Linked DNA regions of Macaca fascicularis. The protein of the gene in region 1 purifies or fractionates together with the protein of each later gene. This does not show direct contact. Links are inferred from orthologs where the notes say so. Each region holds a gene or a part of one and is shown on either strand. Other genes may lie near its edges.

Evidence for each region. Proteins that work in one complex are often made in the same cells at the same time.
Region 2: the proteins of GRB2 (region 1) and ARHGEF5 purify together in Homo sapiens (affinity purification with mass spectrometry; 4 studies listed by BioGRID and IntAct, with this or other methods). This does not show direct contact. The link is inferred for Macaca fascicularis from reciprocal best matches to the Homo sapiens genes GRB2 and ARHGEF5.

Annotation. Positions count from the first base shown.
Region 1 is NC_088390.1:81,805,562-81,811,467, reverse strand, and holds the start of GRB2 (growth factor receptor-bound protein 2), read left to right. Parts: upstream 1-1,764; 5' UTR 1,765-1,960; intron 1,961-5,906. UniProt on the Homo sapiens protein: Non-enzymatic adapter protein that plays a pivotal role in precisely regulated signaling cascades from cell surface receptors to cellular responses, including signaling transduction and gene expression.
Region 2 is NC_088377.1:186,019,080-186,024,455, forward strand, and holds part of ARHGEF5 (rho guanine nucleotide exchange factor 5), read left to right. Parts: intron 1-402; coding exon 403-555; intron 556-822; coding exon 823-952; intron 953-1,206; coding exon 1,207-1,281; intron 1,282-1,726; coding exon 1,727-1,816; intron 1,817-3,277; coding exon 3,278-3,435; intron 3,436-4,059; coding exon 4,060-4,221; intron 4,222-5,376. UniProt on the Homo sapiens protein: Guanine nucleotide exchange factor which activates Rho GTPases. Strongly activates RHOA. Also strongly activates RHOB, weakly activates RHOC and RHOG and shows no effect on RHOD, RHOV, RHOQ or RAC1.

The DNA.
Region 1 (5,906 bases):
ACCTCATATCAGACATCTCCTGCTCACAAACCTTCAGAGGTTGCCCATCACTTGACTATGACACCTGAGCTATAGATTTTGCATTTTGGCCCCCTCTCTCATTACTCTTCCCCCCAGTTCCTGGGCTCAGACTAATCAAAAACATTGGTTGATGGCCAGGAGTGGTGGTTCACACCTGTAATCCTAGCAGTTTGGGAGGCCGAGGCAGGTGGATCACTTGAGGTCAGGAGTCGTAGACCAGCCTGGCCAACATGGCGAAACCCCGTCTCTACTAAAAATACAAAAATTAGCCAGGTGTGGTGGTGGGCTGCTGTAATCTCAGTTACTTGAGAGGCTGAGATGGGAGAAGGTGGAGCTTGCAGTGAACCAAGATTGCGTGCCATTGCACTCCAGCCTGGGCAACAAGAGCGAAACTCCGTCTCAAAAAAAAAAAAAGTGACTGATTCCATTACTCTTTCCTCTTTCCTCCCCGTTTTCACTTTGCCGTTCAAACCAAATCCTTCTTGATTAGTTCATCACCAAGTACTGGCTCCCTCCTCAGCCATCTCTGTGTAGTTCAGTGGCACTTGGGGCCAAACTACCTGTCTTACAGATTAGGCAACTCCAGATTACAAAGCACTGAAAGCAGGGGCTTTATCTGGTTGGCCTTTTACCCTCCAGAGCCCCTTGCACACACATGATGCTCAATAAATACTTGGTGAAAGAACAATTCATTTTCTGTGTTTCAATGGGCTTGTTTTCTCTATAGAATCAGATGCTTGGTTATTCTCATCTCAGCGCTATTTTGTTGGCTTCCAGAAGGCACATTAACACTAGGTGTGTTCTGTTCTATCCTTTAATTGGAAGAGCTTTGGGAACTGAAAAACAAGAATTATTTCTCCAAGCCTCATCTTCTGCCACTCCCCCGTACTCACCGGCCTCATACAGGAATTGAACTACTTAGCACTGCACAGAACACGACTTTCTCTTTCACGCCTCCGTTCCTCTGTACTTAGCCTCTGTACTTACGTGCCATTCCCTTTCCCTGAAATGCCCTTACTCTGGCTTCTCTGCCTGGCAAATTCCTACTCATCCTCCAAGACTCAGCTCAGACATCGCCGCATCACGTCTGTGAAGGCTCTTCTGCAATGGGCAGTGTAGCAGTCCCTCCTCCATCCTTTTAGCTTCCTCAGCAGCTCCAAATAATTATAACAGTACTTATGGCATTATTTGTTAATTTTTCTTCGACTTCCCTAGACAGTGAATTCCTTAAGGGCCAAGATTTCTGTTCTATACCCAGCACAGTGTTCAGTCTCTATTAGGCACACGATTCAATCAATGAGCAAACAAACTCACCAATCATTCCACACTGCAGAGTTTGTACGGACCGGATTCTCAAACACTTCAAGACCTGGTCCTCTATGTGGAGCGCTTCATGCTGGAAGATCTCTTCCTCCCCTCAGCCCTTATCCATCCAACTGCCTCGGTTTGGTAGAAGAGGAAAAGAAAGTGATTAGACGGGGGAAGAGTCCTTCAGGGCCAAGTTGTCATTTACCTGTTCTGGCACCGAGAGGGTTACGGCGACCCGGGGGCGGAGCCGTGCCAAGGCCACCTGCTGCGGGGCGGTCTGGCGCATGCGCCCTGGCAGCTAGCTGTCCCCACCTGTGGGGGCCCGGCCGAGAAGGAGCGCCTGCGCTCTGGGCCTTTTCCGCTGGGGGAAGTCTCGCGGGGGCGGAGCGGGGCGGGGCCTCGTGGAGAAGTTCTCGCGGGATACCGACGGGGAGCGGAAGCGAGGAGGCACTAGTGCTTCGGCGACCGGGCGGCTGCGGCGTCTGTGTCAGAGGCTGTGTCTGTGCCTGTGTCTGTGGCGGTGACGGCGGCGGGAGCAAGCGCTGCCCTCGCGGAGCAGCCTCTGGGTCGCAGGCCGCTCGCAGCGTTGTGGAGGGGCGGGCCGGACGCTGAGCGGAGCAGCTGCGCCACGGTGAGTGCGGGAGGCTGCGCTCGGCGCGGCTCTGGTGCCTCTTCCTCACCGGTCTGCAGCGGGAGTGGGCCCCGGGGGAACCGGGACCGGCCCCGGGGTTCGGGTCGGGGCGGCGAGGCTCGGGACGTGGAGCGGAATCCCCGGGGCTCCGGACTCTACGTTTTCCCTTTTGGGGCGCTTCCTTCCTGGGGACCGTCCTCCTCCGGCTCTCGGCTCTGGGCAGTCCGGGAGTCCAGGGGAAGAGGTCGGGGCTCCCTGGCGAAGTCCCCTGCCTTCATCGGGAGGGTTTGCACGGAAGATGCCCGGGAAGCCCAGGCGGGCAGAACGCCGGCTGAGTCAGTCCGCCCGAGCCCGGTGGCGGGGGACTTGGTGTGGGTTGCAGCTGTGGTGATTGATGTGCTTTCGACCTGCACGGCAACCACGTCACCATCTCTTGGCGTCTTTGGGCTTAATTTTGTGCGGGAATCTACCTTGGGGTAGAACGTTTGCTGCTGGAGCCGGGGGAGATACCTTTATTCTGACACTTAAAAAAAAAAAAACTATTTGAAAAATGTTTGTCAAGAAAAATTCAATAGCAGCAGGTTGGACTGCACCGAGGAAGGATTGCGGCGAGAGCGGGCGCTGGTAATTTTCATTTGCAGCGTGCCGTCTCTGTGATTGTAAGCCACATGTGAGTTATGGCTTGTTTAGAAAGTTTTTCAAGGCTAGCTTCAAACGCTATGAAAGTGCGGTTTGCAGGGGACTGAAGTGCACTTGAGGTCTATCTCCTCTTGATGTTGTTTACTTTCAGAAATGTCAGACACATGAGAGAAATTAGCATTAGTCTCTTTTGACTTTCTTACCTCTCTTTCACTTAGTACTTCTCCAGTTATGTCCTTCCTTCTTTGCTTCTGTCCATTCCAATAGGGACACGAAATGCTTGTGTAATGCAAGTCATTTGTCCCTTCCTCCCCCCATCACCCCCTTTTTTTTTTCTCTTATCTACTTCCCCTTCCTCCTTGTAGTCCCCACTCTGGCGTAATTTTCCGAGGTTTCTTCCCTTTCGTGCTGTTCGTTTTCTCTCATTTCAATATTACATCTTTTTTCTCGGGAAGAGACTCTCTTTCCTGCTTTCGTTCCTTTACTTTTGCGCGTTCCCTGCAGTCAGCCAGAAGGGTTGCTAGAGAGCTGTGGGAGGCTGAAGTCCCCTCTCTGAGAACAGGGAGGCTCAAAAGATTGAATTAATCCCTAAGAAATCAATCCTGCCACTAGGTCACAAGTGTGGTTTGCTTGTGTTATTTTTGTCTTTTAGTCTTTTTCTTTTAAGATTATGCTTTTGTGCCTGCTTATGCCTTCTTCTAGTATGTCTTTATAATAGTAAGGAAGATTGGGTCGGCTCAGGGCTTACGTGACTTTTTTTTTTTTTTTTTTTTTTTTTAAAGGCAGAGTTTCGCTCTGTCTAGGCTGGAGTGCAATGGTGTGATCTCGGCTCACTGCAACCTCCACCACCTGGGTTAAAGTGATTGTCCTGCCTCAGCCCCCTGAGTAGCTGGGATCATAGGCGCTCACCACCACACCCAGCTAATTTTGTATTTTTAGTAGAGATGGGGGTTTCACTATGTTGTCCAGGCTGGTCCTGAACTCCCGACCTCAGGTGATCCACCTGCCTTGGCCTCCCAAAGTGTTGGGAGTACAGGCGTGGGTCACTGCGCCTGGCCAGAGTTAATTCTTATAATCAGCTTTCTCCTACTAAACACAAGCATTTATTTATTTATTTATTTATTTTATTTTATTTTATTTTATTTATTTATTTTTTTTTGAGATGGAGTCTCGCTCTGTCACCCAGGCTGGAGTGCAGTGGCTGGATCTCAGCTCACTGCAAGCTCCGCCTCCCGGGTTCACGCCATTCTCCTGCCTCAGCCTCCCGAGTAGCCGGGACTACAGGCGCCTGCCACCTCGCCCGGCTAAGTTTTTGTATTTTTAGTAGAGACGGGGTTTCACTGTGTTAGCCAGGATGGTCTCGATCTCCTGACCTCGTGATCCGCCCGTCTCGGCCTCCCAAAGTGCTGGGATTACAGGCTTGAGCCACCGCGCCCGGCCTTAATTTTATTTTTTTGAGACGGAGTCTTGCTCTGTCGCCCAGGCTGGAGTGCAGTGGTGCTATTTCGGCTCACTGCAGCCTCCATCTCCTGGGTTCAAGCGATTATCCTGCGTCACCCTCCCGAGTAGCTGGGATTACAGGTGCTCGCCACCAAGCCCGGCTAGTTTTTGTATTTTGGTACAGACAGAGTTTCACCATGTTGGCCGGGCTGGTCTCGAACTCCTGACCTCAAGTGATCTGCCCACCTCAGCCTTGGGATTACAGACGTGAGCCACTGTGCCCTGCATAACTCAAACATTTAAATGTTTGAGGCACTTTACCCCGTCAGCAAGTTACTCAGATTTGAGAGGCTTGCTGGGTTTTAAATACTACTGGTTGATGGTACTTAGAGATTCTTCTCAGTAATTGCTGTTATCACGTCGCATGTTGTGCATCAGAGTTCTAATTATTACACATACAACAGAAGAGGAATGGATTTTGGAGAAATGAAGTGGTACAGAATAGAGAGTCACCATGCCCTCCGGAGAGAAATTAATACTTACTTGCTTAATTCAGAGGAACTGTCCACCATTACTGAACGGCTTTTGAAAGTCTCTCTTTTTTTTTTTTTTTTGGTCAAAGTTGCCTTTTTCCTAGTGGTACCAAGTGAATATGCATTATTTTCTTTTTTTTTTTTTTTGAGACGGAGTCTTGCTCAGTCGCCCAGGCTGGACTGCAGTGGCGCCATCTTGGCTTACTGCAAGCTACGCCTCCCAGGTTCACGCCATTCTCCTGCCTCAGCCTCCCAAGTAGCTGGGAATACAGGCGCCCGCCCCTACGCCCGGCTAATTTTTGCATTTTTAGTAGAGACGGGGTTTCACCGTGTTAGCCAGGATGGTCTCGATCTCCTGACCTCGTGATCCACCCGCCTCGGCCTCCCAAAGTGCTAGGATTACAGGCGTGAGCCACTGCGCCGGTGCATTATTTTCTTTCTTTCTTTTTTTTTTTTTGAGACAGATTCTCGCTCTTGTTGCCCAGGCTGGAGTGCAATGGCACGATCTCGGGTCGCCGCAACTTCCGCCTCCTGGGTTCAAGCAATTCTCCTGCCTCAGCCTCCCAAGTAGCTGGGATTACAGACATGAGCCACCACGCCTGGCTAATTGTGTATTTTTAGTAGAGACAGGATTTCTCCATGTTGGTCAGGCCGGTCTCGAACTCCCGACCTCAGGTGATCCATTCACCTCAGCCTCCCAAAGTGCTGGGATTACAGGTGTGAGCCACCGCACCCTGCCAGTATGCATTATTTTCATTTCATGCAAGGACATTGTAGTGCATTATCTGGAATGCAAATTTTAAAATCTGGTTAAGGCATCCTTATGGTATAGCAATGATGTAAAATTTAGTATCCATAAAAATCACTGGGGGATCTTTTTAAAATTAGGTTCTGGTAGAACTCCAGGATGTACCCCACAGTGAATCAGTCTCTGAATGGGCAGATTTTGATACAGATGGTCTAAGGATCAAAACTGTTGTTACCGAATGTAGCCATAAATAATAAGACCGCTGTGTGGTTTTAAGTTATTCAAGCTAAAATTACATTTTTCTGTGTGTACACAAAGTGAGTATTTAGAATAGCCTAATGGAATGAGTGACTATAACCATGATTCATTTTTACATGTGTAAATTTTTTAGCATTCTTAGTACTGTGATGTAGAGTGATTTAACTTGAAATTTATACTTAATAGGGTCATTAATTTGCCTACCAGAGAATTCTTCTGAGTCTGTAGACTCAGACTACAGATTTTCCAACTTTACAGTGGTGTGAAAGCAATAGCACTCAGTAAAAACTGTACTTCTAGTATCCATATAACTGTTTTGTTTTTCACT
Region 2 (5,376 bases), on another chromosome or scaffold:
AGGAAAAAGAATAGCAAGAAGAGGAGAGGGCCTGTGGGTGGATAGATCCATTAACGGAGAAGTAAATGAGCAATGCTTCCTGGGTTGAGGTTTTGGATGACTGTGGTCATGCACTACATTGAAGATGAGGTGGAAAAACCATCTAAAGATCAGAAAACCTGAACAGGGTCAAAAGAAGAATGAGAAATGGAATATTAGAATACAAGTGTTAAATTAGGCTCAAACTCAGGACAGTTTTGGAGAGAATTCTAGTGCATAGCAAGGTGCACAGAGCAAAGGAGAGTCAATAGAAGTTATTGGCTAATGGAGTGAAGAAGTCACCAGCTCAGTGTACATCAGGGGCCAGTCAACTGCTTAACTGAGGCCCAGAAGTCTCATGAGACTTGTTTAAATCCTGTACAGGTTCCTTTCAGACCTGGAAGAGAACTTTGAGAACAATATCTTCTCCTTCCAAGTATGTGATGTAGTCCTGAACCATGCCCCAGACTTCCGCCGGGTCTACCTGCCTTATGTCACCAACCAGACCTATCAGGAACGCACCTTCCAGAGCCTGATGTGAGACTCATCCTCCATTCAATCCCCATGTAGGCCTGCAGTGACCATGCACCAGTCTCCAGCCCAGCGGGCTATCCCAAGAGCACACTTCCCCATCCCGCCCTCCGTGTTGGTTCCCCCAACCATCACATCTGAGCGCCCTGTACATCAGCTCCCACTGCTCTTTCCCAACCCACAGATATTCCACTGAGCTCCCTTCCCCGCACCTTCACTGCATCCCCATTGGTCCCCACATCCCCCCTCCCCTAAGGCTCGCTCTCCATGCAGGAATAGCAACAGCAATTTCCGAGAGGTCTTGGAGAAGCTGGAGAGCGACCCCGTCTGCCAGCGCCTTTCCCTCAAGTCTTTTCTGATTCTGCCCTTCCAACGCATCACCCGCCTCAAACTGCTGCTCCAGGTAGGGCAGATGCTACCTTGATCCTCTCCCCTTAACTCAAAGGGATGCCCTCAGGAAGACCCATAACAAAGGACCAACCATTCTTCTGCCAGATCTCCACATCCTGTCTCCCTGCTACCCACTGCCTGGTTGCTTAGAAATGTTTGCTGCTGAAATGGGGTCCCTGGGCTTCTCCATTCACCAGCCCCCAATCATTTCTTCCTGTTTCCCGTTTCTTCTTCCCCTATCACTCCTGCCCACTGTCTGTTCAATAGAACATTCTGAAGAGAACACAGCCTGGCTCCTCGGAGGAGGCAGAGGCCACGAAGGCGCACCATGCCCTGGAGCAGGTAGGCAGCCACCACCTCCAATCTGACCCTCCGACCCTCTGTGTGTTCTTCCCAGAGAGGTCTTCCCCGCCTAGGCCCGTGACTCCAGGGAGCATGGGAGGTGGGACCCTGTTGGGAGAGCTCAGCCACCTCCCTGCATCCACCAAACTTCCAAACATACACACCCCACGGCCACCTGTCCCACGCTGAGCACGCTCCACATCAAGGGACTGTGCCCTCTCCACCATCGCTCCCACATTCAATCTCATTTTTACTCAGTCCAAGAATGTTCTTCCGGGTCATGCAAAGTTGCCCAGGACTTGTGCTTGATACTGCCTGCCCAATTCCAGCCTGTGAGAAATGACCGAGGCTGTCATAACCTATTTCCAGATTGCTTGCAGGGGACTCAAAGGTCAAAGCCTCTAACACGGTGCCCTTCCCCTTTCCTCACTCTATGCACCCCTAGCTGATCCGGGACTGCAATAACAATGTCCAGAGTATGCGACAGACAGAGGAGCTAATCTACCTAAGCCAGAAGATTGAGTTTGAGTGCAAAGTGAGTCGGTCCCATGCATGCCATCCCTGCCCATGAACTCCCTCAACATGTCCTGCAGATGACCCCTAACCTGGAACCACCTTGCTCACATTATCCCCAGCCCCTCCCCTCATTTCTGCCCAACTTCTGTTCTGTCCTATTTCTGGGAGGCCTACTTCGGTCTCCAAGACATATTGCTAAGTGAAAAGAGAAGGTAAAGAAAAGTGTGTGTATTATATCACCTTTGGTATAAAAGTGGGAGGATACAAATACATACAGGTATCTGCTTGTGTGTACATACGGAAACTCTGGAAGGAGAATAAGAAAAAAAGGAATAGTGGTTACCTGAGGACAAGGGGGTGCATTTGAGAAATGGGCAGATAAGAGAGAACTTTTCATGATGAGCCTTTATAAAACAATGTTTTGGTGCTTGAGTCATTTATTACTTTATCAAATCTCTTTCTAGTCTAATCAAACCTACATAAGATTGGATCCAAATTTAGGACCAACATCCTTCATTGAAATACAAATCTAAAATAGACATTCCACATTCGAATTCCAACTTAGAACAGATATCATCTTTTTTTTTTTTCTTTTTTTTTTTTTTTTTTGACAGAGTCTCACTCTGTCGCTCCAGGCTAGAGTGCAGGGGTGCGATCAGCTCACTGCAACCTCCACCTCCAAGGTTCAAGCGATTCTCATGCCTCGGCCTCCCGAGTAGCTGGGATTCCAGGTCTGCACTACCATGTCTGGCTGATTTTTGTATTTTTAGTAGAGATGGGGTTTCACCATAGTGGACAAGCTGATCTCCAACTCGTGGCCTCAAGTGATCCACCCATCTCTGCCTTCCAAAGTGCTGGGATTATAGGCGTGAGCCACCACACCCGTGGTTAGAACAGATACTATCTTTACACTCCTGAAAAAGAAAGAAAATCCCTTATTCACATACTAAGCATAGACCACACCCTCATCTATAACCAAATTCCAGCTCCAAGACGCCCCACCTGGTTCTTCTTCTCACCCCCACGTTTGATTCCAACTGCTCACATATCTCTGGTATAATAAAAAATGGAATTGATACCAGACCTGCCTCTGATATTTTAACCTCTAAGACACATACAGTGTTCACTGACTTGTTCCATCACATACCCTGATTGGACTCTTCCATCCCTCCTTCGGTTCAGGCTTCTAGGGCAGAGCTGTCCCACACACTCACTATCCTGAGTGGGACCATAGGCATCTTCTGTTTGCCTGAGCATACAACCATGGGATCCACACACCAGTGGACAGTGGTAGTTAGAGGGTTCAGAGAGAAAGAGAATCTAAGTGATGGGTTATGAGCCAGAAGGCAGATGTGGAAGAGATGCTTGTTCGAGGTGGAACTTGCATGGAAGTGTCATGGGGAGGAGGGTGGGACCAGGAGCAAACCTCATGCTTCTCCCATATGTGACACTGCCTTCTCTCTCTTCCTCTGCCCTGTAGATATTCCCGCTCATTTCTCAGTCACGCTGGCTGGTGAAGAGTGGGGAGCTGACAGCCTTGGAGTTCAGTGTTTCCCCAGGGCTGCGAAGGAAGCTGAACACACGTCCAGTCCACCTTCACCTCTTCAATGACTGTCTGCTGCTGTCTCGGCCCCGAGAGTCAGTGACTGGAGTGGCGGGCCAGGGCACAAGAGAGGAAGGGGATGAGGCAAGAGGAGGTCGGAAAGGGAGAGAGACAGGTCATGTTCCTAGAAGAGCCCTTGTCAATGGCTTAACCCATAGAGCCCAGGTCATAGCCTAGAGAAGAGAAAAACAAGCCCAAAGCAAAAAGGGGATCCCATCAAACTATGTCATGAGACCACATGGCAGGACATGTACTGTGTTATAGACACAGAGCAAAATGTAGCAAATTAGCTTATCACGTTCTCATATCAGTCTATTTGTGGCTTCTTTGGACTAGGCTCAACCTACTATTCTACAGATACTTAGCTAATTCCAGATCTTAAGTCTCTGGTCTTAAGGTTCTTGGGAAATGTATATTAATTCTACCTCTTCACCTCTTTAAAGTGGTAATGTATCCATTGCACTAGGTGTGTGGTTTGCCAGACTAGTGACAAAGCCCTGAGGACCCTGGAGCTACCATCTTGGGAGCAAGTTAGGACCATCTTGTGGTTTTTATGGGAATTTGCAGGCTGCAGATGCAGGAATTTTGAATCCAAGGTTATGAGGGTAGGTGAAGTATGGAAACTCTAGAATCAGGTTGAAAGGATTTGTATTTTGCAGGGGTAGCCGATTCCTGGTATTTGACCATGCTCCCTTCTCCTCCATTCGGGGGGAGAAGTGTGAAATGAAGCTACATGGACCTCACAAAAACCTGTTCCGACTCTTTCTGCGGCAGAGCACTCAGGGCGCCCAGGCCGAGTTCCTCTTCAGCACGGAGACTCAGTGAGACGGGGCTGGGCAGAGGAGTTGGGGATGGGGGAAGATGGGCAGCCTAGAAAAGAAGTGGCACCAAGACAGAAAATGTGTCCAGAAAACAGCCACGGCCTCGTTTAACCCATTCTGGACTGGGGACCACCATAGAGAAATCCAAACGCCTGGAACTAATGGATAACTTGCAGGAGATTGCGGTGGGAGAGGGTACAAAGTCACCACCGAGGCCTAGCATCTATTTTACACTCTTTACTCAAGAAGGACCAGGTCTGTGTGGTATCAGAAAGGAGAAGGACTGGTATGGAGTGAGCAAGGGATTGGAATACTGATATCTGTGGGCACCTGCCTCCATGCCTGAGGCAGAAGCCCTTCTATGCCCCAGCTGGTGCGCACAGATGTGAATAAGACAAGTGCCGGGTGACTTTCGCTTTCTGTGCTCCCATCTTCCAACCCAGTCCTCTGTTGACCAGAGATCCATAGTGTTGAGAATGCTTATTTGCTCATGTTTTCAATAATAATAAAATAAAATGCATTCACACAGACATACACTTTTGAGAGTATTAATAGGACCTATAAAATCTGGAACACAGTGCCTGCAATCATGAACATATAAAAGCCTGTAGCTGTTATTCCTATTATAAAAGATATATGAACAGTCGTTTAAAAGTTTGACATATCTAAGTGTTTGAGGATCCCTATGTTGTAGACACTTTTTCAGTTTTGTCCCTTGGAAGATACTTCAGAGTGGGACCGACAACACCTGTTCTCATTTATTGAACAGAAGGACTAGTATAGGAGTTTGTGTGCGAAATAGCACATAAGTCAAATAATCAGATGCAGATGCATGTTGTTGGTTTGCTGCTTTGAACGGTGTTCTGGAACAGTAATAGTGTCTGGGCTCAGTTACCTAGGCACAACTGAGCGCAGAGGCAAAGAGAATGTAAAAACCTTCAAATGATTACAAACTTAGGCTTGTATTACACTATGCAACAACAACAAATAAAATAGACATATCTCCCTGATCTAATTATTATTATGAAACAATGCTCATCTCTGAGATATTTGGTTGGAGGGAGATAGGCAAGGGAGTATCAAGAATCATGCAAAATGGTGGAGGGACTCTAAACTGAGATGGACGCTTCACTTAGCACAATTTCCAAAACAGAA